4 linked regions of the Tamandua tetradactyla genome follow. The protein of the gene in region 2 interacts with the protein of the main gene of each other region in a biochemical or structural test. Links are inferred from orthologs where the notes say so. Each region holds a gene or a part of one and is shown on either strand. Other genes may lie near its edges.

The links.
Region 1: of the proteins of BTRC (region 2) and WEE1, one has a biochemical effect on the other in vitro, tested with the Homo sapiens proteins (2 studies listed by BioGRID, with this or other methods). The link is inferred for Tamandua tetradactyla from reciprocal best matches to the Homo sapiens genes BTRC and WEE1.
Region 3: the proteins of BTRC (region 2) and UBE2R2 form a complex in vitro, tested with the Homo sapiens proteins (2 studies listed by BioGRID). The link is inferred for Tamandua tetradactyla from reciprocal best matches to the Homo sapiens genes BTRC and UBE2R2.
Region 4: of the proteins of BTRC (region 2) and CDC25A, one has a biochemical effect on the other in vitro, tested with the Homo sapiens proteins (3 studies listed by BioGRID and IntAct, with this or other methods). The link is inferred for Tamandua tetradactyla from reciprocal best matches to the Homo sapiens genes BTRC and CDC25A.

Annotation. Positions count from the first base shown.
Region 1 is NC_135334.1:84,082,908-84,090,542, forward strand, and holds the start of WEE1 (wee1-like protein kinase), read left to right. Parts: upstream 1-4,617; 5' UTR 4,618-4,914; coding exon 4,915-5,490; intron 5,491-5,651; exon of another isoform or gene 5,652-5,781; intron 5,782-5,808; exon of another isoform or gene 5,809-6,373; intron 6,374-6,926; coding exon 6,927-7,132; intron 7,133-7,635. UniProt on the Homo sapiens protein: Acts as a negative regulator of entry into mitosis (G2 to M transition) by protecting the nucleus from cytoplasmically activated cyclin B1-complexed CDK1 before the onset of mitosis by mediating phosphorylation of CDK1 on 'Tyr-15'.
Region 2 is NC_135339.1:62,880,804-62,888,352, reverse strand, and holds the start of BTRC (F-box/WD repeat-containing protein 1A), read right to left. Parts: upstream 3,011-7,549; 5' UTR 2,904-3,010; coding exon 2,856-2,903; intron 2,577-2,855; exon of another isoform or gene 2,446-2,576; intron 1,762-2,445; exon of another isoform or gene 604-1,761; coding exon of another isoform or gene 594-603; intron 1-593. UniProt on the Homo sapiens protein: Substrate recognition component of a SCF (SKP1-CUL1-F-box protein) E3 ubiquitin-protein ligase complex which mediates the ubiquitination and subsequent proteasomal degradation of target proteins. Recognizes and binds to phosphorylated target proteins.
Region 3 is NC_135328.1:62,250,051-62,257,613, forward strand, and holds the start of UBE2R2 (ubiquitin-conjugating enzyme E2 R2), read right to left. Parts: upstream 3,013-7,563; 5' UTR 2,995-3,012; coding exon 2,818-2,994; intron 1-2,817. UniProt on the Homo sapiens protein: E2 ubiquitin-conjugating enzyme that accepts ubiquitin from an E1 ubiquitin-activating protein, and catalyzes its covalent attachment to other proteins by an E3 ubiquitin-protein ligase complex.
Region 4 is NC_135341.1:38,163,597-38,170,834, reverse strand, and holds the start of CDC25A (M-phase inducer phosphatase 1), read right to left. Parts: upstream 3,017-7,238; 5' UTR 2,963-3,016; coding exon 2,793-2,962; intron 1,784-2,792; coding exon 1,707-1,783; intron 346-1,706; coding exon 303-345; intron 1-302. UniProt on the Homo sapiens protein: Tyrosine protein phosphatase which functions as a dosage-dependent inducer of mitotic progression. Directly dephosphorylates CDK1 and stimulates its kinase activity. Also dephosphorylates CDK2 in complex with cyclin-E, in vitro.

The sequences.
Region 1 (7,635 bases), on a different chromosome or scaffold from region 2:
ATATATAATCAGTAATTCACAATATCATCACATAGTTGCATATTCATCATCATGATAATTTCTTAGAACATTTGCATCTATTCAGAAAAAGAAATAAAATGAAAACAGAAAAAAATATTTATACATAGCATACTCCCCTTACCCCTCCCTTTCATTGATCACTAGCATTTCAACCTAAATTATTTTAACATTTGTTTCCCCTATTATTTATTTTTATTCCATATATTCTACTCATCTATTGACAAAGTAGATAAAAGGAGCATCAGACACAAGGTTTTCACAATCATACAGTCACATTGTGAAAACTATATCATTATACAATCATCTTCAAGAAACATGGCTACTGGAACACAGCTCTACATTTTTAGGCAGTTCCCTCCAGCCTCTCCATTACATCTTAGTTAACAAGGTGATATCTACTTAATATGTAAGAATAACCTCCAGGATAACCTCTCGACTCTGTTTGGAATCTCTCAGCCATTGGCACTTTGTCTCATTTCACTCTTCCCCCTTTTGGTCCAGAAGGTTTTCTCAATCCCTTGATGCTGGGTCTCAGCTCATTCTAGGATTTCTGTCCCACGTTGCCAGGAAGGTCCACACCCCTTGGAGTTATGTCCCACATAGACAGGGGGAGGGCAGTGAGTTTGCCTGTTGTGTTGGCTAGAGTGAGAGGCCACATCTGAGCAACAAAAGAGGTTCTCTTGGGGGTAACTCTTAGGCCTAATTTAAGTAGGCTTGACCTATCCTTCGTGGGGTTAAGTTTCATATGAACAACCCCTAAGACTGTGGGCTCAGCCTATAGCTTTGATTGTTCACACCTCTTGTAAGAATATCAAGAATTCTACTTGGGGAAGTTGAATTTTCCCCCATTCTCACCATTCCCCAAAGGGGACTTTGCAAATACTTTTTTAGAAGAACTGAAATTTGACCATGATTGAAAAATAAATAAATAAATAAGCCATCAGAGTAGGCTTTTGCTTAGAGAAAATGACTATTTTTCCAGAATCAAAAGTGTAAACTAGAAAAATTTCAGCTTTGGGTAAAGCTTGGCTAATCTTATGAAACATTCCTACACACTCTACAGCACTACAAAAAATTAGTTCCTAGTTTTGAAGGATCTTTCATTCAAAAGTACAAGGTTTATGTTAATGAATATATACACATGTATATTTTACTTTTTATGTACATGTATTCATGTGTTGTATAAAAAGTATTTGAGAGGATGATTTAGGAATCTTACTTATAAATCTTCAGAGTAGGAATCTTGCTCCTCTTGCTGCTAAGTAGGTTAAACAGGCTGACAATAGTGATAGTAAAGTCTTTTACTTGCTAAGTCATCTGTCTAAAGAGAATAAACAGGTTTAGTTGGTTCTCCCAAGAGCTCCAGGCAAGAATTTTTACTCAGTTATCACATTACCACAAGTGAGTGGATTCTGCAAAAGTTGCCTAGCAACATTACATTAAAAACAACAGTGGGCAGTGGGCGGGGAAAGAAACTTGAAATTAGAGATGCCTGGGGGCAGGTGGGTGTAACCCATCTCTCCAGTACAGTGAGTCCTGTACTGGAAGAGCCTGAAATTAAAAAATAAGAACAGTCATTTAAAAGTTTCAGTTAGAACAATGCTTCAATTAAACCATAACATTGTGCCATTTTCTCAGCTTGGAGGAGGCAGGGCCTGATTTCTTACTCATTTTGGCACTTTTGTTTTAAAGATAAGTAGATTTTTATTCAATGATCCAGACATGTTTATTAAAGCAACATCTTAGGGGACCAGATTTTTTATTCAGTTATACAGAAACATTTATTAAGCACCATCTCAGGGGTCAAGGTACAGTGCTGATTGCTGGAGCTCTAAAGACAAATACAACTTGGTCTGGCCTGGAGTGGGAAGGAATCCAGACAAGTAAACAAAGAAAGAGTGTTACAAGGTCCATGCCCGGTGAGGTGGAAAGTCTGGAACAGGGAATATCAATTTTACCTGGAAGTGGACAGAGTCAAGGACAGGTTTCATAGAGGAGCTGGCTCTAGCACTGAGTCTTGTTTCAACTTTTAGTCCTTCTTTTCCCTAGTCATTCCACATATTTGTTGAGAACTTAGCTTTCCCATTGTGTGTGAGAACCTGGCTGCCAAGAATTCAAAGTACTGGAACTGTGGACCAAGAGCTCTTCTCTTCCAATCCGGAACCCAGGGCTTTTAACCCAGAACCTCAAAGACCTCTCAGTTTAGGGAAGCCAATAGGTGGGAAAGAATTGACCAAAACAAAAAAACAAAAACAAACTGCTTAAAAGTGTTTACCTGCAGGGAAAGGATTTAGGCTGAGGGCTGGCTGGGGATTGAAGGGGTAGGTAGGGAACTTCTGTGCCATTTGAATTTATATTATTTGAGAGAAAACGAAATTTTAAAAAAGACCACGGAGGAAAAAAATGAGTCATGTGATGTGTACTAACCTCTACAAACTATTATCGAATAGAAGAGTAATCTTCTGTTCAAAATCTTAAATAAGCATGACAGGCTAACATGTCATTCAGAAACAAATGATTCAAATATTTAAGTAAAGGCTCTATTCATCACTCAGTAGATAATGTGCACCTAAAACCATCAGAATACTGCAACAAACAAGATAGAAAAGGTCCATATCTTTAGGTATTTGGTTTTCTAGAAAGGGATAGTAATAAACAACCCAAATAACTTTTAAAATATAGGCCTGTTAAGGAAATAAAGCAAGATGAGAAAGAGTGACTGGGGGGGGGGGGGGTGGGACTTGTTAAGATTGCAGGGTTAGCAATAGGGGATCCAGAATTCTCACACAGAAGGGGCTTGGGAGTAGCAATCCAGTTGGGGGAGATGTCTAAAGGGCTTTAAAGTTCAAATTTTACAAGGAAGCACGTTATTTTTACATTCAAGTTTCAGATCAATTTTAAAAAATAGAAGTTTCTATAATCATTTTTATTTACACTTCATATAAAACTGAGAAAACATCAGATACCCAAATCAAAGAACAGTGTTTGTCATCTAGGCTGACAGGAGGAAAGGGTTAAAGGGAAGGTGCTAAAAACCACTTCATGGCTTTCCTTGAAATGAACCAAAGTGTAGCATTCTTGTCCTCCAAGAGCTTAAAATCCAGTTTGGAATAACATACAAAAAGGACACAATTATACATCAGTTAGCAAATGTTTGGAGAAGATAGATGCAGGCCTTTCACTGTGTCTTCAGTTATGTGAGCTCAGGGAATTTTCCCATGTGGTAAGTGTTAAGTACTGACCACTGTTTTCCTTAAAAAAAAAAATCAAGCTTGAGTTTAACCTTTGCAAAGTGCTAAAATAACATACATGGCCAAGTGTTAATATCCATAAAATGCTACGATAAGAAAAAGAGACAATAGAAATAAGTGTAAATGACTACTAAGCCCATGTAAACTGTCCAACAAATCAAAACAAATCTACCCACCCACTTATACCCAGAACTCACAGCCTGAGAATGTAAGTTGTTTTTTTCTGGAGGGCAGTTGGGCAGTTTATATTCTTTGACCAGTAACTTTCACTTCTGGGAATTTATTGTAAAAAAAAAAAATAATTAGAAAACAAACAATCCGGAGGGGGGAAAACCCACGTGTAAAAGGAAGAATATTCACCAGTTATTTCCAACTGAAAATTTGCAAGAAACTTTTATATGTGGCAATGAGGGACTGATTAAACCATAATATGACAGAGAACTAGGGGAATTTTTTCTCTAGTTATGTTTAAGTTTGCGGTGAGTTAGGCCAATCTTTTTTTTTTTTAATGCCAACACTTGCCCACCTACTGGCGAACAAATATAAACACATACAAACGTGGCAGACATTTGGCTCTGCGCTGGGGCCGACCGTGGCGCTGTTTATATTTACCGTGGATAAGTGAGTGGCGGAGGGGACCACGGGCTGGGGGAGTTCACCTAGCTACATACACGCTCGACCCTAACAAACATACACCGGGGAAACTGAGGCTCAGAAGCGGCCACCACAGCCAGTGTTCCCGCCTCAAGAACTCGCGTGTTCTTGCTGAATTTGGGTGTCCGTCCTAACCGCATCGGTTCACACAGTTCAGAAAGTTACTGAGGCCGAAGACGCCATTCCGGGTTCAGACCACGACCAAGAAGCGTGACCGTCTAGACTCCCGCCCACAACGCCCATCAGCCGTCACCAGGGCGGCAGGCCGGCCCCCGGGGCTGCGCCCGAGCTGCAAGGCCGCCGATGACCGACCCGGTTCGCAAGAACCCTGACGCACTCCCGCGTCGCCGGTCCCTTCAATCCCCCGGGCCCCGGCGGAGCAGCGAGGAGGCGCTTCTAGTCCCGCGTCCGGAACGGGCTTGGCGAACGAAGCTCCTTTCGCTTCTTTCTGGAGGCCGCTTCCGCTCCCGGTTGTTGCTTGGTCTGGGCGGCGCCCGCCGGGCCCCCGGCACCCCGGCCTCGCTCATAGGCCGCCGCGCTGCGGCCCGCCCAAAGCCCAGCCTGAAGCCAAGTGGGAGGCGGAGCTAGCGGGTTCGCGCCAAAATCGCGTAGCTGGCCCCACCCCCACGGGCTACGTCGCGCCCTCCTTTTTTTTCAAACCCGGGCCTGGGCGGGGATTGGTGGATTGGGAACTCACGTGGTTAACGGTCGCGGGAAGCCGCGGAGCCCGAACCTGCGGCTGGACCTGCGGAGACCCCAGCCTTGGTGCCTGTGTCCCGCTTGTGCTGGACTGTCCACGCCGCCACCAACCGACACCATCGCCCGCAGCCGGAGCGCCCCGGAGCCGCAGACCCCAGCAGCGCGGACTCGCAACAGCAGCGACCGGGCGCACCCAGTCGCACGTGGCGGACCCGCCCCCTAGGCCGGCTGTGTCCTGGACTCTGCAGGCCCCGGCTCTCCGGCCCTCGGCCCAGGCCCCAGGAGCGCTATGAGCTTCCTGAGTCGGCAGCAGCCGCCACCGCCCCGCCGCGCCGGGGTCTCCTGCACCTTGCGACAGAAGCTGATCTTCTCGCCCTGCAGCGACTGTGAAGAGGAGGAGGAGGAAGAAGAGGAGGAGGGCAGCGGCCACAGCACCGGGGAGGACTCAGCCTTTCAGGAGCCTGATTCGCCGCTGCCGCCCGCGCGGAGCCCCACGGAGGCCGGGCCCGAACTCCACCGCTCCCCCGGCCCGGCCCCCGGCAGCCCCGGGGAGCTGGAGGAGGACATGCTGCTACAGGGCGCCTCCCCAGGAGCGGACGCGGCGGGCGGCGGGGCCGAGGGCGACTCGTGGGAAGAGGAGGGCTTTGGCTCCTCGTCGCCGGTCAAGTCGCCGGCGGCCGCCTACTTCCTAGTCAGCTCGTTCTCCCCGGTGCGCTGCGGCGGTCCAGGGGATGCGTCCCCGCGGGGCTGCGGGGCGCGCCGGGCAGGCGATGGCCCCTGCTCGCCGGCGCCCGACTATCCCGGCACCCCTCCGCACAAGACCTTCCGCAAGCTGCGGCTCTTCGACACGCCGCACACCCCCAAGGTGAGAGCACTGGGCGGGTGGGGCCTAGCCGACCGACCTGGGCGCCCGGGTCCCGCGCAGGCCGAGCCTTTTAAAAAGGCCGCGGCGCCAGGAGCGGAGCTGGGCGCTGTCTGGGTTCAGTTACATAACCTCCCGGCCGCACCCCCGCTCCCTTTCCTGCGCCGCAGCACGAAGTTGGCAGCCCCTCTTTTGGGCCCTGCCCAGAAGTTGTCCGTTAAGATTATGTAACTGAACAATGAGCCTCGTCTGGAACTTCTTCATCCTTCAAAGGGGCTGATCGGCGCCGTCCAGGTGGCTGAGGATTTAACGCCCTTTGAGCGTGTCAGCCTGGAGTGTGGCACCGATAACGTGGTTTGGAACGGGTGCTGGCGCCGTGCTGGCCTGGCCACCTGACACTCCCGAGCGCCGCGGCCATATGGTGCCTTTTAAACGCACTGGTCTGCCCTGTAATTTGGGCGGCGAGCGCAGAAGGAATTCGATTTTAAGAAATCTTCATTCGCTTATCGTTTCATGTCCTGGGAGGGGGAGTTTGAAGTATGAAGGGAGACTGTGCCTTGACTTGGCAGAAGAGGCTGACGCATTTAAAGTGTTAAAAGACTCATTAAAAAACCGCAACGTAGCATTTCACTCTCTTTCCCGACGTGATGTTGGAAAAGCGTTTGTTTATACCCTTGGGTTCCTATTGCCCACGTTTGATTGGCCTGCGTGTGATGATCAGTAACTTCCAACTCCTAAAAGCCGGCGGTAGTATTGTTGCTTGAGCCCTTTTGCGTTTATACAAATCATAATTTATCTTGAAGAAGTAGGTGTTTGTGAAGCGGCCAGTGTGTGTGCCGATTACCGTTTTTAAAACAGTTCTTAAAACAAAAAGACACTTATTAGGGTAAGTTTCGCATTTGTAAGATTAATATGGAAAATGTACCTTTTCAAGTGAGTCACTCAATTTTGTGTCTGATATACGGGTAGTCACAAACCTCAGGAATAACGTGTACTTTGAGTTTAACTGTTTATTAGCCGACTAGCTCAAGGCAAAATCCCCTTGAAAGTGAGGGGAGGAGTCGAGCAGTGGAGGAATTCGAGGCCTTATTTAGATGGGGGAGGGGAGCTTTTATGGGGCTCCCTGACTGCTTTCTATTTTTAGACATTGAGAGAGTTTAATTTTTAGTTACTGGAATGAACTTAATTTTAGTCAGCACTCAGTTTCTTTGTAGGATTGGAAACCGACTTTACTTTCCTATCCCTTTCAGAAAAGGCGGTTATTTTTCAACCTAAGTTAGCCAGTGTTTATTTTGCCTGAAAAATAAATATAACAAAGACTTGTGTGTTACTTTGACCTCCACATTCAGTCATGTGAAAGGCTTGTTGAAGGGTAGGTTGGGAAGCCTGACTGTATAGGACTTGAAGCCTAAAAAATTTTTTTATATTTCCTTCCCTAGAGTTTGCTCTCCAAAGCTCGAGGAATTGATTCCAGCTCTGTTAAACACCGGGGTGGTTCTCTATTCATGAATTCAGAAAAATCAGGAAGAAGGGAATTTGACATGCGGCAGACTCCTCAAGTCAACATTAATCCTTTTACTCCAGATTCTGTGTTGCTTCATTCTTCAGGACAGTGTCGTCGAAGAAAGAGAACATATTGGAATGAGTAGGTCCTTTCTTATTATTCAGCAGTTTGGTTCCTCAAACCACCTAAGATTTTCAAACTCATCACAATTTAATTTCAACTGAATGGCATGAAGTTTGTACACTGAAATTTTTTCTATTACTAGTATGTAATTCTCAGAGTTGAGGTAGAAATAATCAACTGTGGAAAAGGATTGGTGTGAGAAAGGAAGATATAAAAAGTCTAGATAGCTTGTAGAAATCTACTTGTGTCAAAAATGAGAGAAAGGCAGCAGGCAAGCAGATTTGACTTAGAAAGGCTTTAACTTTGATGAGTGGTGGTTTTGATGTGTGATTGGTTTTTAACCAACCAGTTACCTTCTGGTTGGTAGTGAGCAAATCAGCAGGGAAAACGTTTTCATCAGCTGGGTTGAATCTTGTGATTGTAAAAATAACTGCTTTTTCTGCCTTTATCCCATTGAAATTCCATTTCACTATACATTTCTCAGATGAAACTTTGGATCTGTCAGATATGTTGATGAAGAA
Region 2 (7,549 bases):
TTTATTTGTTTTTAGACCCTAATATTCTGCTTAAAGCTTTTTTTTTTTAGGGGGTGGTGCATGGTCCGGGACTTGAACCCGGGTCTCCCACATGAAAGGTGGGCATTCTAACCACTAAGCTACCCATGCACCCCTGCTTAAAGTATTTTTCACAAGTAGATAAGGATAAGCTTTAAGTCTAGATCATATGTGACTTAAACAGCCCACTATGGATTAGTAGTCTCATAATAAGATTTTATTGTAAAATTCCTAAACAAAGCACTACATTAATGTGGTCATGACTAAAATTCGTCAAAGAGAGTATTCATTTCCTATTGACATTTTAAACAAATTTTACATCTTTCTAAACTAGAGAAATCAAGGCATTTGTACAAAAGTTATGATCAGTAATTCACAATTGAGGGAAAGGATAGCAGCCAGAACAAAGTCAAATACTACACAAAAATTCCAATTTGATTAAAAGGCTAACCTTTCCATATGTACTGTATACTAATTGCTTGGGGCAAGCGCAAATAAATTATCTTCCTATCTCAAAATTCATTCTGAATAAACAAGCATGTTATAGCAGGGTGGATGGGACCAAATGGACTTACTCAGATTCATAATTAGAGCGTTACTGAGCTGAAAGAGAAGACCGTATCTCTGGTTCTCCGAGGTCTGCTTCAGTTATTAAGGTGTCATTTTTGGTTACCCTCTTCAAGTTGGCCTTTTCTCAAACAACAGCCACAGTGACAAGTAAGATAAAAAATGAAAGTCAAATTAAAGAAAAACTGATTTCTCCCTATGGAAACTGACTCAACATTTAATAATGTATGGTACCCCAAAAGCTGTGAACTACGACATGGCCATTTCCAGGTCCAATATAATTCAATCACGAGCCCATTATGGAAACATGTCTCACTGGTACAAAACAGAAATCAAGCAGTTGAGAATGTTCATAGGCTGAGGTCTAATGGGAAGTTAAGAAAATGATCTCATAATGTCTCTTTATGATCTATAAATCACATTATTCCATAAATGTGACACAGTGTCAGGATGAAGATTAAGAGTCAACCCTCTAAGCAGGGAAACAAAAGTAAGCATCTGCCACTTTTCTAACTGAAAATAAATCTAGAAGCTGGGTAACGAAATCAAGCAATTTCCTCTACTAAAGTCCAAAAAAATTTCAAGTTTCTCTTCAACATTGGGCAGAAATTCAAGAACCTTCTTCAAGCTTAATGTATTCTTGTTTTTGATAGTCAAACTTTAATCAGGTGTTTCTGAAAGACCTAACACAAAGACTTTGTAAACTGGACCAGTCTCTTGAACAACATTTTTGTAAATGGGGCAGTTTAAAGCCTAAATTCAATCCAGGTTAGTGATACATGTTTATTTAGATTTGAAGTTGTTATACTATTTCCAGCAAGGGTACAAAATAGAAACTATCTAACAAAGGAATAAGGTTTGGAGTGCAGGTTACAATTACTTTTGAAAAAGTAAGACTTGACTGCAAATGACACCCATGTCCCTAAAGCCACCTGCTAAACTAGAAATCTATGTATCCCCTCACTCTAGCTGAAACCATCAAGTCTGGCTTTACACTTAGGATATACAAGAAGTATCAGATTAAAAGCATCAAATATCAGACTACACAAATTTCCCAAACATAAGCATAGAAAAAGAAAAGCATGATACAAAGTTAAAGAAATCGGCTCTAAAGCAAGAGTTTCCAGCACACCCACAAAATCCAATCCATGCAAACATTGTGCTTCAACCTAAAACTGATGGGTAACCAACCCCCCATCCTGATTTACCTCCCATTCTCTACTACCTACAACCCCACTTTCATTTTCTGAATTTCTCCACTCTTCTCATTGCTTCTTAGGAGTCTTTGCAATTCTAATCTACATGCCCTTTCCTTTCCCAGAACATCGTACAGGTCCCCACCCCTACAGTTCACTACCTCCACAATTTAGCTCTAAGTTTTGTTTTACCTTATTAGATCTTAATTTTCCCCCAATCTCCTATACCCATATTTCCCTGACAAATCAGCCTCTTGCTTTTCATCACCTTATTCCTAATATATATAATATTATATATACAGCCTTTCCTTTCTGAGTATATACCCCTTTTCCTGTCATTTGTAATTTGGCCCACAGTCAACACCACCCTCCTTTCCCAAGGGCTGTTATCATCGCCCTAGGTCACCATCTCCATCCTTATCTTCCTAAATAAGGCCTCCTCCTTTCCAGAGTTTGTCAACACTAGTTTGGCTTAAGATAAGATTTAGCCTCAGGGCAAATGCTATCTCCCACTTCATTCTACAATTCTACACGCCTCCCAACAGCCCTGGTTTCCCTCCTCCACCCTTAGATCCATCTTCATCTAGGTCTGCCCATTTTCCACCTACCCTCAATATCTGTCCTCCCACCCACCCGCGCTCCGCTTCCCCACGCTGGAATGTACCTTCTTTCCTGGGCCTTATCCGTGACCCTGACACCGGGAAGGCCCTGCCAGCGGCCACGCAGAGTCTATCCTCCGAGCTTTCTCCGCTCTTCAGTAACTGTCCCCACGCCCCTTTCCCTCCAGGGCCCCGCGCGCGGCCCGGAGCCCCCTCCCCGATTAAGCTCCCCGCTGTCACTCGGCCTCTCATCCACAAGATGGCGGAGCTGCTGCCCCCACCCCCGGGTCTGCTCCGCAACCCCCTCCCGCCTCCCCGGAGCTCCGGTCCCGGCCCTCCAGCCGCTTCGGCTGCCGGCCTAGGCTCGGAGTGCCCGGGTCCCTTCCCCCGGACGGCGGGCGGCCCAGGCCCGACTCCTAGCGACGCCACCAACGCCACCGCTTCCACTGTTCCCCGGCCGGCCCCTCCTCCTCACCATAAACTTGAGCGCTTTCTCCTGCAGCACCGCCTCGGCCGGGTCCATAATCTCCCGGGGCCGCTGGGTCTGCTCTCAACCGGGGCCGCCCCCTTAGTGCCAGGCCTCAGCCAACGCAGCGCCCGGATCCCGCCTCCTCTTCCTTCCCCCGCCCTCTCTTACCTCTTAGGCACCGGCGTGGGGGGGGTCAGGGACCCCCCCCGCTTGTGCTGTGCGCATGCGTAAACCCTGTGGCTCAAGGGATTTGTAGTTCTGGAGCTTCCCGCTGCAGTAAGTGAGGCAACCAAGAGTCCCGACTCCCGCTGTTCATTGCCGCAGGTTTGCCTTTGTCGATAAGCAAAGTTTAGACAACTCGTGGTCAACTAGGGAAAAACGGCTGATGGGAATTGTAGTTCACAGCCTCTAGGATAGAAAACGGGAGGATGCACAGATTATCTCCGTGGTTAACGTGCGACGCCGGTGGCGGCTTGCTTAGCATTTGCCATCAAGATGGTGGCCAGAAAGAGCCTCACCAGTAACCCACATACTGGGAAAAAATGTTACAAGACTCGGGGGTGCTAGGACCTCTCTAACTTTCAATGTGGAGAGCTGGTCAAACCCAAATTTCATATATCTCACTTCTGCAGGAGGGATTGAGACCCAGAATTGCTGGCTCTATGGGCACCTGGCAGCACCTCCAACCCACTACTAAATTTAAAAGTCTACCCAAACTGTCACTCCACACCTCTCCGAGGAACCTAGTCTCTCTCACAACAAGACAGGGCCAGGCAGAACTCAAATGAGAAAATTCTCTGGTGTTTAGAGCTCAGGTAAGTCAAATTTAAGCCCCATTGAAACCACAAAGAAAATATCTAAGAAGTATGCACAGAAGGAAATGAGAAGGGATTCTAAATGGGTCACTACAAAAGATCAACTAAATACAAAAGTAGGCAACTAATGGAAAAATTGAAGGACAAAAGAGGTATAAGACTTACAAAAGCCAAATAGCAAAATAGCTCAAGTCCTACATTTTCAATATTACTTGTAAATGAATTAAACTCTCCACTTAAAAAAAAAAAAGAAAAAAACTTTTGTAGTGGTTTGGAGCTGTATGTACTCCAGAAAAATATGTTCTTTAAGTTAATCCATTCCTGTGATGTGAACCCATTGTAAACAGCCTTTTGATGAGGCTTCTTCAGTTAAGGTGTGACACACCTCATTCAGGATTGGTCTTAAGCTTATTAGAATCCCTTATAAACACAAGCAAGACAAAGCGAAAACCACAGAAGCAAGAACCTGAAAACAGGGAAAGAGAGAAGACAGCAATAAGCAGACACCGCCATGTGCCTTGCCAAGTGGCAGAGGAGCCAAGGATTGCTAGCAGTCAATCTTGGAGAAGAAAGTATCTCCTTGATGAAACCTTGATTTGGACATTTTCCCAGCCTCAACTGTGAGCAAATAAATTCCTATTTTTTTTTTAACTCAACCCATGGTATTTGCCTTGAGCAGCCTAGAAAACTAAAACACCTCTGAAGTTGAACAGTCACTTTTTTTTACTTTATTATCTGTACGAGAGTATGAAAACATTGCCTGATGAAGCTGGCGGTCAGTGACAATCCTCACTTTGTCCAAGCAGGTACAGATGAGGATTAGTAAAGCAAATTCAAAGAGTTTTTGTTTAAAAGCCCAACCAGCTGGGAATCTAAGCAGAAAGTCAGTTGGCAGAGGCAGTCCACAGAAAAAGTAAATCCTCCTTCTTTAAAATGAACCAGTCATGGTCAGGCAAACAGAAATCCAAATATGAACTGTCTTAATTTTTAAGGAAAACTCAGGTTTTAGGAAAGATCATTGGACTGGAAGTTGAGAGACTTGATTCTAGCCCCCACTTTCATCAGTTAATTGGTAGACTTTGGGTAATTAACCAAACCACTTTGGCCCTCTCTTTTGTCATCTAGAAAACAAAGTTCTCTGCCAACTGAAAACAGTATGCATCTATGAGCTTGCTTTTGGCACAGTTGCTCACAGAAAATACTGAATCATTAGAACCTTTTTAAAGCTCCACTTTACTGGAAAACTGGACTTCTAACATGAAAAATCGCTTCTCCTAGATTCCTTGCTCCCATTCTCCTAGCTTAAGAGCTGAGAGTACTATTTGACCCACCCTTGTCCTTTAGCTTCCGTATTCAACCAGTTATAGATATCAGATATCTCTTTCAGTTCTACCCCTTTTTCCTCCCCCATAGGCAATGTTTCCTTTTTGTTTGTTTATATGGTTCTTGCAAAATAGATGCTTTGTATGCTATATTTTTAATTCACAGATGTAATTTTGTTTTATATGTATCTCATTGTTTCATACATTTTGCACCCTGTACCTATGGTTTTCAAAAACTCTTTCCTGGCGGAGCACGGACTTCCATGTCCTGACCAGCCACCACCAGGAAAGATCTGTTCACTACGACAGCCAGAACTAAAGCATTAGACCTGATGACCCCATTGTGATTTTAATGAAAGTCTAGCTTGGTAAACAACATGGTCTTCCTATTCCCTGAGACACAACAATATTGAAATTAGACCAAATAATAACCCTACAATGTGCTCTAAGAGTTAAGGTAAAAGGAAGAGTCAATTGATGTAGCAAACTTCATTGTTGTCCTATTTTAAGAAATTGGCACAGCCACACCAATCTTCAACCACCACCAACCTGATCAGTCAGAAGCCATTAATTGAGGCAAGACTCTCTACCAGCAAAAGGATTATAATTCACTAAAGGTTCAGATCGTGGTTAGCATTTTTCCTGGGTTTTTTTGTTTGTTTGTTTTTTATTTTGTTTTGTTTTTGTTATGCTGTGTGGCAGGCATCACCTTTCATTCTTTTTCCATATGGGTATCCAGTTATTGCAGCATCATTTGTTGGGTATTTGTTTCTTTCTTTCTTTGCTTGTTTGTTTGCTTTTCGGGAAGTGCATGGGCTGGGAATTAAACCCTGGTCCCCCGCATGGCAGGCGAGAATTCTACCACTGAACTACCCTTGCACCCCCTGCCCCCAAGTTTAGCATTTTTAACAATAAATGTGTTTGTTCGTTTGTTTTTACAGTTTTTTTTTAATTAAGGTATAAACATTGATATTTTAGACAAAATGCTACCACACACTTATAGACTACAGTACAGTTTATAAACATAACTTTTATATACACTAGAATACCAAAAATTCATGTGACTTGCTTTATTGCAATATTCGCTTTATTGCAGTGGTCTACAAACCAAACTGGCAATATCTTCAAGGCATGCTTGTGCAGGTAGAATGCTTCTTCTCTTCTTAAGATATTGATCATCTTCCCATGAATCTTTAGGGGCAGAAAAATTCTGGAAATAAAAAAACACTGAGCTTTTTATAATGATGTCATCCAAACCGCCTCTAATTGTAACTACGGACACCATATGTTCCATATGTTCAGTTAGACATGATAAAAACCAATCTTAAATTTAAATCTTAAGTAATATAATAAAGCCTTTCCCCAGTAAAAAGAAAAAAACCTTTCGTGTTTCCATGTGTACATCTAACTTGTTGCTTCTAACTGCTAATATTCTGATGATGACATCTCCCAAGTTTTACCTATCCACTCTCCAGCAAAGCCTCCAGAATCCAGTTGCCCCAAATAGCACTGTAGTGACCCACTGCCTACATGTCCCATGAGTAAGAGTATCTTTGGGAATTTATACCCACAACCATAATTACTGGTTTGTAGCCTAAGGATACCTAATTTGACTATGTGGTGCCAAATCACAGTACAGAAAGGCCATAACATTCTCCAATTCCATGAGCAGTGTGGGAGGATGTCACTTCTCTGTCACCATTGGAATTATCTAACTTTTTTTGTTGCCAGTCTGCAAATTATCGCTTCTCTAGGTAACCCTCAACTCATAATGATCTTGCCTTTCTTTAAGCACTTGAATCTGCTCTTCTAAACCTCACCCCCCAGTATGCGTTTGGTGATTAACAAATAGGCCAAAGCCAGAAATATTCCACACATGCCTGTGCTTTTTCCTCTTCCCTTAGCATCCCCTCTCCTAAATCTGGTAGGATTCTCAACCCTAACTGCACAGTAGAGTCACTTGAGGAGCTTTATAAACAATGTTGATGCCCAAACTCTACCCACAGTCACACACCTCTGCTACCACTCAGCTATTCTGATTGAATAAGATCTGTGGGTGGTCCTGGGTGATGGTTGTTTTAAAAGACCCGCAGGTGGTTCTAATCTGCAGTCAAGTTTGAGACCACTGCCTTGGCGTTTAGGTGTCCAGTGCCTTCTTGCTGACCTCTGCTATCTAGAGTCCCCTTCCAAGCCTAACTTGCTTTCCAAATTCTAGGAAATTCTAGAATTACCTTTCCCTCCCCTCTCTAAAAAACTACATTTTCTAAGGATTGCCAAGGGCTGCCCAAGATTGACTGGAAGCAAAGTCATTATCTAATTTTAAAACAAACAGTAAAAAACACCATCAACTATTTGAATATCTGATAGACTTAATCCTAGGGTCAAGAGGTCCAGAGGAAGTGGGAAAGGTTATTTACATTTCAGTCAGATAGAGAGATACACTTTTAGCTGGGCCCTAAAGAAAGAGTGCCACACACATACACACACACATACACACACACATACTTCTCTTCATTTCCCTGTCCTCATTAAGACTCACTCCTCTAATGTCAATAATGCAGGG
Region 3 (7,563 bases), on a different chromosome or scaffold from region 2:
ACTGTAGCAAAATCAAGTTCAGGGATTTTCTCAGTGTTCTAAACCATCTCCTACTTTGTCTTTTGTACACAAATGACCCCTAGAGGAAAAATTCCAAGCAGCAAAGAAATTCAGAAGGTCAATAAGATTAAGTGGACAAAAAGAGAGCAAAATCAAAAAATATTTTCATATGTGCAGAATAGACACAAGAAACTACCTTACCCAACACACATTCATAACCCCAAAACTAAGAATCACAAGGATTAGAATTATTAAAAAAAAAAAAAAAGCAGAATGAATTTTTAAAAATTGTGAAATACATGTCTCACAAGTCTCCACAACAGAACTTCTAGTTAAAACAAACTAGAGTCAACTATTTCATGGGGAAAAAGATCAATTAGTAGTCTACTGGTATATAAAAGTACTGTTATATGGAAAACTTAAAGAATGACAGTTCCATAGCCTTCACAAATTATTATGCAAAATACAGAAGCATTTAAGTTAAAAATAAATTATACTAAATGTTAAAGGACTAACATTTGATAAGGGAAGAGAATAATGGCAGGGAAAGCTCTGTGCCAACTTTTTAATTGCAGCTGTAGTGCAATAGCAGGGCAAGTTTTGTTTTGAGTCAAAAGTAGTGAACTACTAAACAATGGTTTTAAACCTATCACCTGTGTTAACTCCTCTTTATTATAAAGGGCTAATGGGATAAAAGGGCAATCAATGAGGAAAATAATAGAAGAAAATACAATTAATTGAACAAACTTCTCAAACACTAAAACATGACAACTTCAAGAATTTTTTTAAAGAATTTTTTTTTCACATATCAGAATTAAAGGTAAAGAAAACCTGAAAGATTAGGAAATCTAACACATACAATGAAATTGAGATTAAATCTTTTTTTTAAGCAGCACTAAAAGTGTTTAATTTAAATCAATGACTGTTCTAAGGAATCTTTCTTCCATACAATCTATTCTGAACTGCCAGGTTTCTCCATACTCCTTCCCTAGTAATTTAGGCAAAATTTATCTAATCTACTATAATTTATAGCCTATTATTTTCTTTCACACTTTTTTAAACAAACAGCATTAGAGCAATTATTCTAACTAGCACCTATTTATTTGACTGTCAACTGTCCCAAACTATGATACTTTTTAAGAAATTAATCTTTATTCTGCTAAAGTTAGTCAGTAGATTTTGCTAAATAATTTTGCTAGAAAAATTGTCAAATAAATTCCATTTTGTGTAAATAATTTTCCAGTATCCATAAACAAAAATTTATATTTATATTTAATAACAGTAGTAAAATGAGGCCTCAACATGGACACAGGACTACCCTTCTTCAATCTATCACAAACAACTTGTATATTTACTTAGTGATTTTGAATATCTGTATGTGAAAAGAATGCTGCACGCTAACCACAAAGCACAGTTGGTAAGGATACCTCTCTTACACAGTACTCTAAAAATCTGCTCTTACTAGGTTGTTGAATCATCACCACAGGCATGAATATTAGACATTATGGCATCAATCCTTCAAAGGGTCTACAAAAGTGGACAGAATTTCAAGCCTGAAACTGAGGCTTCTACCTTTAGAAGGGTAGAAAACAAGAGTTAAGTAATTGGGTAGTCCTAAAAATACACATCATAACTACATGACTAAGATACTCATTTAAAACCTGTGCCAAGATAGTCCCTCCCTTCAAAACAAACTAAAACTGACTCACTGATCTATTTTACTTAATTTTGGAAATAAAAAAACTAAATTAAATGAATTCCTAAGCACTCATTTCCTGTCAATTAAAACATTCAAATCTTCAATTTGTGATTGTCTCGCCAAAAACTCTAAAATAAAATAAAAATTTAGTATCTTCAAGATACCTATATTAAGAGTAAAAACAAAAACACTAGATTCAGGAATGATCATAACCACTGTTCTAAATCATAGAGAACAGACAACTTCTTTGTTGGCTGTATAAGGAGCCAACCCACCCTGTGAAACCACCTCACCTCCAAAGATAATTTTCTACTGTGAGATCACCCCATTTGCTAGAGTTAACTACCTGAGTAAAAGGTTTCAATTTTGTCTCCACTCCTGTACATATAGAAAAAAATGCCAGTAAAGTTGGTGGCAGGGGGAGGACAAAGGGCATTTCGAAACACTACTGAAGTAAATAGAGAACCAGGTCAGAAAAAGGTCTAGATAAAGTTCCCTCAACTGGATAATGGCAAGAAAACGTAGGCACCCTTTTTTTCCCCACCACCCCCAGGGTCCTATTCTTCATTACCGCCCACTGGAATGCAAACTTGGAACTACCAATAGCCAAGAATCCCAACAAATCCTCAAAATGTCAGGTCACTAGACAGCCTCTGGGATGACAGGCTAATGTCCCCACCCCCACCCGCACCCCAAAAAAAGAAAAACCCAATAAGTGCAGGTCACCCTGCCCTCTGGGGCAGTTCCAGCCTACGCAGGGATGATTCTGATGGGAGAAGGAGATAGAAAAGACAAACTACCTTTCTTTCCATACACCCTCAGCTGGGGAAACAAAGACAGCCCTCCTTCTCCGTTCTCTACTACCCTAGCCAAAAAGAGACTTTTTCTATTTCCCAGCGCAGTCTGGCCTCCCCTCCCGCCCCCGCCCCCATGACAAAGAAAAGGCACTTCGTGAGCAAGGCCTTCCTGCCTCCACGGATGGGGGGAGGGGGCTGCCGAGGTGAGGAGCCCCCTCCACTCACACGCGCTCCCACTTCTAGCCCCGAAAACAGATGAAACCGAACGAGGAGCAGAAGACTCGGCCGGGGAAAGCCAGGTCCGGGAAGGGGGAAAGGTACCTTGAAGTAGCCGCCTTCGTAGAGGGTGTTGGGGGGTCCGAAGATGGCCACCTCCCAGTTGTAGAGGTCGGACTCATCCACCAGGGTGATCCGGAAGCCCTCCACCGGTTCCTCCTGCAGGGATTTCAGCTCGAGCATCAGGGCCTTCTGCGAGCTGGTCATCTGCTGCTGGGCCATCGCGGCGGTGGCACCGGCCCGGGCCCCAGTCCTCACGCACCCGCCGGGCCGGAGCAGGCCCCTCCCCTCCGCTTGCCCTCGGGCCGGGCCGCGCCGGGCCCCTGTCTTCACACACCCGGCGGGCCGGACCAGGCCCCAGACGGCCCGCGGGCCGGTCCGGAGTCCTCCTCACACGCGACGCGGGCCGGGCCGGGCCCTTCTCCTCACACTTGGACGGGCGGGGGGGAGGGGTCGAGGGAGTTAGGGGGAATTCGCTCCGGGTCTGGGGCCTCCCCCCCCCGAGGGGGCCTCAGCTGGGGGGGGGGGGGGTCGAGGAGGTGGAGGCGGAGGAAGGCGGTGGAGGGCTGGCGACGGTGAGGGGAGGGTGCTGGCCCGGGAACGCGGCGCTCGCTCGCCCTCTCGTTCTCCAGGGGGTCTGCCGGGGCCCAGGTGGGAGGGGGAGGGCGGCACGCGAGGGTCTCGCGGTGGCGGCGGCTGCGCGGGGGGAGGGGCGACGGAGGAGGAGAGAAGCAAGAGCGCCTCGCGCCGCGGGAGCGACAGAGCCCAGAAGAAGCAGGGAGGGAGGAGGGGCGCGCGCCCGGAGAGGGTGGCTCGCAGCGGCTGGCGGCCCGACGCGCGTGCGCGCGCCCCTCCCTCCCCCGCCCTCCCTGCCCTCCTCGCCCTCCTCCTCCCAGATCCCCGCCTCCTCCACAGCCCCGCGCCGTGGCGGCGCTTTGTGACGTTGGCCGCGGGTGGGGGCCTAGGGTGGCCGCAAGGGACAACGTTGGCCATAAAATCAAGGTAGTGAAGCTCAACGCCGGGGTTCCACAGGCGCTCCCGCAAAGGGACCTCAGATCCAAGAGCTATCAGCGCCCTCCTACTAGGTACCGACGAGAACGTTCGGCCTCCGCACACATTCCCTGACGAGTCCAGGGACCCCGCAGGCCCTCCCCGAGGCCCTCAGTATGCGGGCCCTACACCCAGTAGGTGATTGAGAAGGATGTGCTTTGAATGTGGGTATTGTGATGACATCAACTTCACCACGTCTCCCCGGCACGAACTTTCGGTCCTCATGCCGGAGGGTCCTTGGGCAAGTCACTTACCTGGGGGAGGGAGAGTTTCCGACCCGAGAAATTGAGGAAGACAGATAGCTCCTACTTCCCTTCTTAACTACAAAGAGGAAGTTGAAGGGGGGTTAAAAAGAGAGAGAAAAATAGTGCTAGAGGCTGAACCTCGGTTCCTGATCATTTTCTGTGTACTTTGGGGCAAGTATTCTCACTGCCCCTCAGTTTGCCCATTTGTAAAATACCATGTTCTGACTTTGACCCCTTTCAGCTTCAAAATCCAACCTGGAAGTGACGGGCTTTTAAGATAATCATGATTGAGGTGAGATGTGAGGACAGTCTTCAGTGCCCTTGATTTTTGTATACCCCTTTCTTTAGAAAGGCACTTTCTATTAAATTTGCCTAGATGTTTCCTAGAAAAGCCGGGATACTGTGAGGGCTCCACACACTCAGAATTTTACTATCTGAAGTCTTGGTTCCAGCCCTGGCTCCATCATTTACATTACCTCTGTATCATCAGCGTCTCTAAAGGAGGTTAATTATACCTAACAAGCAATTGTGATGATCAAAAGAGATTTATGTACAGCGTTTAGCATAATGACTGACGTCGTAAATGATCCATAAATAGGACCTTGAAAGAAAGAAAAAAATTAAGCGTCACAGTTGTATTCTGAACACCACTTCCTTTGTTTTGTTTTAAAAATAGACTTTTTAAAGTTTTAGATTTACCAATGAGAAATAGTACAGAGAATTCCCATAAACGTCATCCAGTTTCCCCCATTATTAATATCTTACACTAATATGGTACATTTATTACAATTAATGAACATCATTATTAACTAAAATCCATACATTATTCAGCTTTCCTTAGTTTTTACCTAATGTCCTTTTTCTGTTCCAGATCCTATCTAGGACACCACATCACATTTAATTATCGTGTCTCTTTAGGCGCCTTCCTTTGGGCTGTTGCAATTTCTCAGACTTTCCTTGTTTTTTATGACCTTGACAGTTTTCAGGAATATTGGTGAGGTATTTTGTAGACTGGCCCTCAATTGGGATTTGTGTGACATTTTTCTCCTAATTAGACTACAGTTATGTATCTCTGGGATGAAGATCACAATGATAAAGTGCCATTTTCATCACATCATATCATATCAAAGGTACATACTATCAATATGATTTGTCACAGCATTCACCTTGATCATCTGACTGGTATTTGTCAAGCTTCTCCTTTGAGAAAAAAAAAAGTCTACTTTTTTCTCCTTTCTATACGATACCCTTTGGAAGGAAGTCACTATGTGCAGCCCAACATTTAAAGGATCCCATTCATTTTTTTGTTCATTTTTCTCAAAGATGGGGGTCTCAGTATTTTAATTAAAGGATAATTCTCTAGACCCCAACCACTCCCCTAGGTCTTGGCACCAAACACAACCGAACTTAGAGCTCCCCTCAGAAAAGGCAGAAAACTCGAGTCAATGTAGCTCCTTCTCACAAAAATGATATTGTATGACTGGTTCTGGCTTCCCCTCCCCCTCACTTTGGGTACAAGAAGTTTGCTGACCCGGAAATGTGGGAGGTAATGTTGACACCTTTAATAACAAGGCTCTGAACAGACAAATAGGCAGAAACTTCATCTTCAAAGCATTTCACCCACATAAATTCGTCACAGCTCCACCCTAATCCAAAGGATGGTGAATCCCTAGCCTAACCCACTTGAATATATATTTGGCATCCAGACCTAAAACTGCTCCTTTAGCTCACATCAACTGGCAGACTCATATTAAACATCCATTTGGGCATCACCCAAAGTTGGGTAGCTGACAAACTCATTTGTCTGGGAGACTCACAGCCTAGTTGATTAGTGAACTGTGTACTCGAGACTTTCCATCCTTAGGTCAGAAGAACTGGAATTCCACAGAACCAGTTTCATGTCATTTTATTGTAGCACATAAGACATTGTTCATTAGTAGACTGCAACTGTGTCTTATTCATCTATATATCCTCAGCAACCAACACACTGTCAAACACAATTAGACACTAAAGTAATTGTTCTCATGGACTCACAGCCAAAGGCAGGAAGACAATCAGTAACAAAAAAAGTAACAAATTGAACTCCCACTCCCATGCCTAATATGATCTCTTGGGCACATAAAAGGTGCTCAAGGTTAGAAATTCCATAAGGATAACAGGTCTTATTCATAACCATATGCGAGCTACTACACTGCTTGGCATATAGTAGGGGCTCAAAACATTTATCAAAAGGATGAATGGCAGAAACAGCCTCTTAGAGCTTTCTCATCTCGTAATGCCATAGATTTAAGACATAAATAGATTGACTTCACTGGCTGGTGCCCTCTGGTGGTAACTGATGTTTTAGTTAGATGCCTAGGCCCAGTCTGTTGCATCACCTGCTACTCTCTAAGCAGGGTGCTCCTGAACAATCTATTTCCTTTCTTCCAGATAGAAAAAATATGGAAATCTTGGCAAGATAAATGGAGGGAGGGTATTGGTATTTGCTTTAGAAATGTTGATTTTGGCTTTACAGAATGATTCTAAGAAGCCAATTTTTTTTCATTCATTCAACATGACACCAACTGTGTAAGATTTGGGCACTGCTCTTAAGGGGCCACACATTTCTTCTAATGATTATAACTGGCATTTGCTGAGCATCACTATGGCACAGACATTTTACATGCATTGTCCCTTTAAATCCTCATTAAACCAATGACATGGCTGTTACTAGAATCTCTATTTTACCAATGAGTAAACCAAAGCTTAAAGAGGTAAGGAAAGTTGCCCAATGTCACACAACTAGTAAACATAGAACCTGCAGTTGAACCTCAGCCATCCTTCTTCAGGGTGACTGCTCTGAATCACCATGCTCTATTTTTCCTAATGTACTGCAGCATGCTGTTCCTATCATAACAACCCACATACACCACACTATACTGCAATTATTTGTTTACTTTTTTCTCCCAGCCTTTCTGTGCTCTTGGAAAAGACCCATTCATTCATTCCTTCTTTAAACACATATTTATTGAGTGTTTGTGACGGTCCTGTGCTAAGTTCCCAAAATAATAATAGTATGAGACAGAAGTGATTGAACCATGCACTATTTGAACGTACATTCTAGTGGCTGATGCAAAAACTGACAAAAACAATTAGGTAATACACAAATAATGTTGCAAGTTTTGGTGAGTACTTTTAAAGGTGGTTAAAGGGGGGGCCTAAGGGGTGTAATGCCATTTTAGATGGTGTTCTAGTTTGCTAGTTGCTGGAATGCAATATACCAGAAACAGAATGGCTTTTAAAAAGGGGAATTTAATAAGTTGCTAGTTTACAGTTTCAAGTCTGAGAAAATGTCCCAATTAAAACAAGTCTATAGAAATGTCCAATCTAAGGCATCTAGGGAAAGATACCTTGGTTCAAGAAGGCCAATGAAGTTCAGGGTTTCTCTCTCAAGTGAGAAGGCACATGGTGAACACAGTCAGGGTTCCTCTCTCATCTGGAAGGGCACATGGCGAAC
Region 4 (7,238 bases), on a different chromosome or scaffold from region 2:
AAAAAACAAACCCAGATCTCTTAAAACACAAATGTTTTCAAGGCTATGACGACATAGAGTGAAGGGGTTTGGGTGAGACCTGATCAGAATACCAGAATTACAAGCTAAAATAAAGGAGGGATGGTTCTGTAAATTGTTGACATAAATCACTCCTCAAAAGATACCAGACTGTTTATAGGATCTGGAAATCTGATAGGGACTGCTCAATCCAGGGCTCCAGGCCAGAGAGTGAGAATTTCATTTACAAATTAAAAAAAAAACTTTTTCCTAAGCACAAACATTTAAAAGCAGTGAATACATACTTTTCTTTACTGTCCAAGGGCCCAGGAGAATCCAGACAGAAGCCTGTGGGAAATTAAAAAAAAAAAAGTGCTTGTATTTGCCATCAATCTCTGCAACTCAAGTTACTCTATAAACATTCCTCATTCCTTTGACAGGAGCTTCCATTTACCTGCTGAATCTCACTTTTCCACTTCAAATATTGTCTCTTATGCTTTCAAAGTGTTTAAATCCCAGGAAATCATACATGAAACACTATTTTATCATTAAAATAAATAAATCTGGTTTCTTAATTCAGTCAACAAAAACCCTCAAACTGTACTTTTGCCAGAATTGAAGCCCAGTTTATTTGACTGGAGTTTATCTACTGATTCTCTTCTACTTGCAATTACCATGATGGGAAATAGGAGTTGAGGAGGTGAGTTAAACTAATTCACATCATGACTGCTTAGTATTCAGATAAAGGTGACCCAGGTAAATTTCCCTGAGTTCCAACCATAGAAAAAATAATTGGCAGATTTCTCTGGATATTTTTTTTATTTTGAATATTTTATCTTGTCAGATCGCATGCATAAATTTGGTGTGGAAAATATAAATCATAAGTCATATGACACATAAGGCATGTATTTCAACAGAATGGCACTGAGGAGGATGTCCATCTCCCCAAGGACAGTAGGGCAAAGAAGACCCTACTCATGTTACCATGTGCCAGTCTCAGAATGGCCAAAACCCAACAGTGCCTGCTTAGTGCACACCTCTGTCCCTGCTGACATCTAAGTCTCATAGGAAAACTAGGTGTCAACTCCTGATTGGTATTCTTGCTTGCCCCACTGCCACAAATAATTCTTTCCCCAGTTCTCAAGAACCCTACATTTAAAGACATTTGCTCTTGAGTCCTCTAACCTAAAGCTGTGCCCCAAATGTTCTTGTCTGTGCAGATATAGATAAATCCCAGAGTAACACCAAACGTATTACTGGCACCTTTCCTCCAGAGCAAACTCACTCCATTTCATTTTACTTCCAATAATTTGATACCACATTTGGGGGGGGGGCGGGGATCATGGACAGGCTCTGGGAATCGAACCTGGATCTCTGGCATGGCAGGTGAGAATTCTGACACTGAGCTACAGTTGCACTGCCCAATCCCACATTTTAATCAATGAGATTTTCTAAATGTCACTTAGAGTGGTACAGTGCTCATATTATTCATCTTTGAAGACCCAGCCACACCTATTGCTTGCAAACACTTAAACTTGTTTTCTCTCATTATGAACTGACACAGGGGTTCCTTCAAATTGTTCTTAATACCATTTGCGAAGTCCCTTGGTAAAAGATCATTGTTTCAGCAAACCCCCTGTGTTGCTCACCATCTATCTCCCCACACCCCCAAGCATACACACGATGCTTGCTGAAGGCTGAAAGAATACCTGAATCTGTTGACTCGGAGGAGCCCATTCTCTGCAGACTGCTACTGTTCTTCACCTCCACAGGTTGTTCATACTCACTGCAACCAAGATAAAATCATTCTACATGAACTATTTCTAGGAATTAATTAAAGATTAAATACAAGGGGCAGGCCACAAGATTAGCAAATGCCCAGACTGTCACGAACCACCATTACTTGCATGACACCACATGGATCCTATTTTTCCACGCAGAGCACCAAGTTTGCATTTGAGCATAAAAGGAACGTAGAAAGCTGTGGGTGCATATGGACCACACCGTATGATATGACTACAACAAACGCTGGAATAGTTCCTGAAATGAGAACATGCGTTCTAAGCACTGTACTAGGAGTAGGGATTAAAAAGGAATAGGACAGAGTTCTTGCTTTTCAAAGACTGCGAAGCTAACAAGACGTGTATTTAGACAGAAAGAAGGGTGCCCAAGACTGGAGAAAAAGCAGCTTCACCAGAAACACTGTTGGGCCCTTTTTTTTTGGTCTATAAGGAAAATCCCGGGAGTTTTCAGTGAAGAGGTTGGGTAAAAGCCTGGCCTTGGAAAGCAAAGGAGTGACCATCAAGAATGCGCATGGGACAAGAACTGCGATGATGTTGCACCAACTCCAGGAAAGAAAATGCCAGGTCCCTTTGTTGGGAAGGAACAAAGCTCACAGGAAACTAAGATCCTGCGAGGTTCAGCAAACGGTGGAAGTGGCGCCCAGGAGGGCATGCTTTTGCCCCTTCGGGAAAGGTTCCAAAGAGCTTTCTGAAATAGGGAGGTAAGAGAAGCGGGGTACAGGGTAACCAAAAAGAGGTAGCGAAGGCCGGGGCTTCCCCACCCCTTACCGGGCCTGGCTCAGGGCTCAGGGGATCCCTGGAGGGTCCGAACGGCTTCTCCCGCCCAACATTCCGCCCGTGGGGAGAGTGCACATGGCGGGACCGGAGCTAGGCCCTGCCGCCCCGGAGCGGCGAACCCAGGAGGGCTGATCGCGCCTCTCTTCCAGCTAATCTCCCCGAGGGCCGCCCGACAGGCCCGCAGCCTAGGGTGCTGCTCGCTGGTCCCCTGCTCACCTGCCCAGCCCCTGCAGTTGGTCCATGGTGACCGTCAGGTTGGTGACAGGCGACAGCCCTCCGGCGGCAGGCGTACCGAAGAGCGCCTTCACTACAGGCGGAGGTGCTGGAGGGGAGCTGCAGGCGAAGAGCAGACGGCGACGGTGCGGGGGCTCCGGGCCCAGTTCCATGGCGGCGCCCAGACTCCCCAGGGCTCCCTTTTCCTCCGCCTCCACCGCGCCCGCCTCGCCCCGCCGGCACCGGCCTCCGCCGCGCGACCCGCCGCCGGCACTTGTGGGTCAAACACAAACACGACCCTACGGTTCAGGGAGGCCGCCAGCCGCCGGCAAGCGGCGCGGCCGGGCGGGTGTCTGGACCAGGCAGGTGCCAGCTACAAGCACGGGTGTCCCCAACCTTACTCCGCGAGGCCGGCGGGCGGGCGGGCGCCGGCAATCTTAAGATTAAATTCAAACAAACGCTGCGTGTCGGAAAGGGAGGGCGAGAGAGAGCCGCGAGGCAACGGCCTGGGCTCACACACTACTCTTTTTTCCTCACACCCTTGCCCAACCCGGAGTCACTAAACAAGAAGCAGACCTTCACCTCCTACCGGGACTGCCACAGAGGAGGATGCCTTTCGCAGTAGTAGCTGCTCTCTGGGGTCTGCCGCTGCCCCGCCTCCCTTTCCTAGTTGGCGCCAAACGGTATCCACCAATCAGTAAATAACTTCTCCTTCTTGCTCTCGATTGGCAGCTAGGTTGGACCAATGAAAGGGGAGGAAGGAAGCAGGTCGCGGGGCTTTGCGAGGTCACCCGCTCTCAGAAAGGGGCGGGGCCCAGAGGAGACCGGGGCGGGTTGAAACGAGAGGGGGAGCAAAGGTCAATGAAAACTCCCAACAGGTTCTGCGAGGCGCCGGCCGAGTTGAATGCTGGGAAGTGTAGTTCTTCCTGGCCCCTCCGGCCCAACAGCGTCCTTTCACGGCCCGCGCGGCAGTCCTGTATCTTTTAACCTCGTTAGGCCGCGTCGACCTTGTCCCTGGCCCCCGCCCCGCACCCCACGCCCCGGGGGAATGTAGAGGCTAGAGAAATCAGACCAGAGCTTCTGGAGGTCTGGCCGACTAGGCAAGACCCAGCCTTACTCGACCTCTTTCCTTTCCTCAGGCGCCGCTGTGTCCCAGCTTTATAACAAGGGAGGGAATTGAGTGACTGAACTAAAATTGATAGAGCAACTCTAAAACAGGCCTCATTCCCTCACTTTCTGGTGCTAGGAACCCCCTCAACCACCATGATTTTGCAGATGTCAGCTTCATCTGAAAGGTTTTCGACCACACTGGGCTGCAGGCCTCAGCATTATAAGCCTTCTGTGTTCTCTTAGAGTAATTTTTTTATCCTTAGCCCTTTTTTACCAAATGAGAGCTGGTAAATAGCAATACTAGTAAAAGTAATAATAGCTAGTGCTTATATAGTGCTTATTGTGTACCAGGTACTGTTCCAATGCTTTTCCTCTATTCATTTCGACTTTAAAACAACTCTGTGAGATAGGAATCATTATGCCACTTTATAGGTGACCGTATTTATTTTTATGGCCGCTACACCAGCGGTGGTACCTAGAATGGTTTTAATAAATGTGCATTAATCAAGTGCGGAAGAACTTGTCTTGAGACAGCATTTTTAGAGCACATCTGCTTATTTGGGATTGCATATTTGTGTAGGGGATTTTAATGTCTGGTACAGATGATGCCCATTACCTCTGCTCAAGAACTACAATTAAAGATTTATTTTAAAAAACTTTTCAACTTTTGCAAATAATGCAAAATCATGATTGAATTAGAAAATAAGCATAATTTAAAAAATCATCTGTAATCTTACCACTTCTAAAGAAAGCTGTCAACATTTTCAACTTTTTTTGTGTGTGTACATTCACTGTAAATGTACAACTGGTATTTATTTCGTGGTCAAATACAGGAGTGAAAGGCCCTCCTTGCCTCCTTCCCCTTCTCAGGTAAGCTCTGCCCTGACTGATAGATTCTTCTGTTATCTCCACCCTCTAGGCTCCTTGTTCCATTCCTGAAGAGCACTCCTCACACCTTTACATTTGTTTCTATGATTATTTTATTGGGTTGAGTACTCCCAATTGATTAGAAACTCAGTAGGGGCAGAGACCCTACCTTTCCTTTTCCCTACTGTAGTATCTGCAGCACCTCAGGCCATGCCTGCATCAGGGGACCCCTCAGTACATGCTGATTAAGTGCTACAAAGACAAAGTGTGAGTGCTTTGAGGGTGTCTGAGAGGGAATCTGATCTAGTCTGATGTGTCAGAGAATCCCTGAGGAATTGATCAGAAGGATAAGTCTTCATGGGGGAAAGAACTTTCTGAGCAGAGGAGCAGGCCCTATGTAAAGGCCCTGAGGCTGTAAGGAGCCCCTTGAGTGTGGCTTTGGCAGAGAGCAAGTGGAAGAGAGGAAGTTGGAAAAGTGGGCAAGATTTATAGGCCACATTTTGGAATTTGGACATTGCCCCAAGAGCAATGGGAAAAAGATCAAAAGGTTTGCATTTACATTTTAAAAAGATAACCCTGGGAGTGGAGAATGGATTAAAAAAGGGCAAAGGTAGAGTGTGGAAAGGATTCCCAACAGTCCTTGTAAAATAGAATGGTAACTTGAACTGGGGAGGGGTTAATGCCTTCATGCGGGTGATATGAGAGATGGACCACAATTGTGTCTTGAACCACTAAGCCCAGCAGGGCTCCAGACTCCTTATTCAATCAGGGGTTGCTCCCTGTCATACCATAGCAGCTTGGCCTTTTAATCTGCATTGTATATTGCAATGCCGTGTATAGTTTATTTGAAATAGGTATTCCCAGTGCTAAACAGACAAACAAACAAAAAGCACTTTTTCCATCAATTTATAAGACTTATTTTCTGTAGAGAAATAAACATCCTTTCTCTGATTCAGTATTTTACACATGCCCATTCTTCTTTCACACAACTCTGCTGGTAGCAAGATTGGAATTTTTCTGCATGGTTACGGTTCAGCATGAGCCTCCTTGGAGGCTAGAAGGTTTAAAATCAGCACCAAGAAGTCAAGTCAGAACTAACAGAGCTTTCCAAAGTGAAATGAGCAATCCAGGAGGCTGTATGTCCACTGTCCTAGATGTTGCAGAGTGAGGAGGGATACCTACAGTTAGGTTTTCTCGAATATTGATCCTACATCAGAATCATCTGGGGAACTTTAGCTTTTATGCAATTATTTATTTATTGAGTAAGTAATCCATTTACAATGTACAAATCCAGGTGATACCAAACAAAGGCCTAGGGTAAAATGTCTCCCTCTCCTCCCTGTCCTCAGCCCTGTCTCCTCCCCATAGGTCAGCGCTGCAGTCAATTTTTTTTTATCCCTTAGAGCCTGTGCTTATGCTAACAAGTATAGGTACATATTCTCCACACAGTTTATTTTTACATGCATAATAGCTTATTATAAACTATCCTGAACCTCACTCTTTTTTACTTTGTGTATCTTGGGTATAGTTCAATATCAGCAGGTAGAGTTCTTTTTTTAATGACTACCAATTTGGGGTGTGTGTGTGTGGAGGGCTTTTTCTGAAATATAGATCCTCCGGTGTCTCAGATATTTTGATTTGGCCTGATGTGGGTCCCTGGAATCCATATGTTCAGAAAGCTGTCTGAATTGTTCTGAAACAGATTTGAACAGATTTGAACCACTGACCTACATGAGCTTTAAGGTCATCAAACCCCAGAGAGTTTAAAAAAAAAAAAAAAAAGCAACCCAGAGATTACATGGTTCTAAAACATAATTAGAATTTGCCCTGGGTTATGCTGAATAACGAGCTTTGTCAGATTATATTTGGATCACAGGCTACATCCTATCTCATGTCTAAGTGTTTGCTCTAGGATAGCCCACATTCCTTCATGAGTGCTTCCTAGACATCTCACCTACCCCCAGTACTTCTGTACCTTTCTCCCTCATCCCAGAGAACTCCCAAGTCTTTATACTCAATTGAAGTCTCCCTCCTCAACCCCAGCTCCTTCTCTGAATCCACCCAGAATGACCCACTGGCAACTCAAGCTCTACTTGTTGTAAATCGATTTCTCTTTCCTTCCAAACCCATTATCCTTCACTGTCCCCATGAGAGGATATAGTACCTCCATCTACCCTTCCTCTTCCTCATTGTATCAGCAGACTCCTAAGTCTTCCATTGAGCTCTAAAACCCTAGTGTTCTTTCTAAATGCAAATCTGATCTCCTCCTCCACCCTCTGTTTCAAGGACTCTCCGTTGCTTAAAGCAGGGTCTTTGGAGCCATAGCCAGAGCACACAAGCAACTCACATCTCAAAAGATTCTCAACAAATAAATTACTCATGCTACATGTAATATACTATTTCCTGTTTTATTGTTTCACTTTAAAAAAAAAACACGAGCCACTAAAATTAATGTTATGACCCACTAGTGAG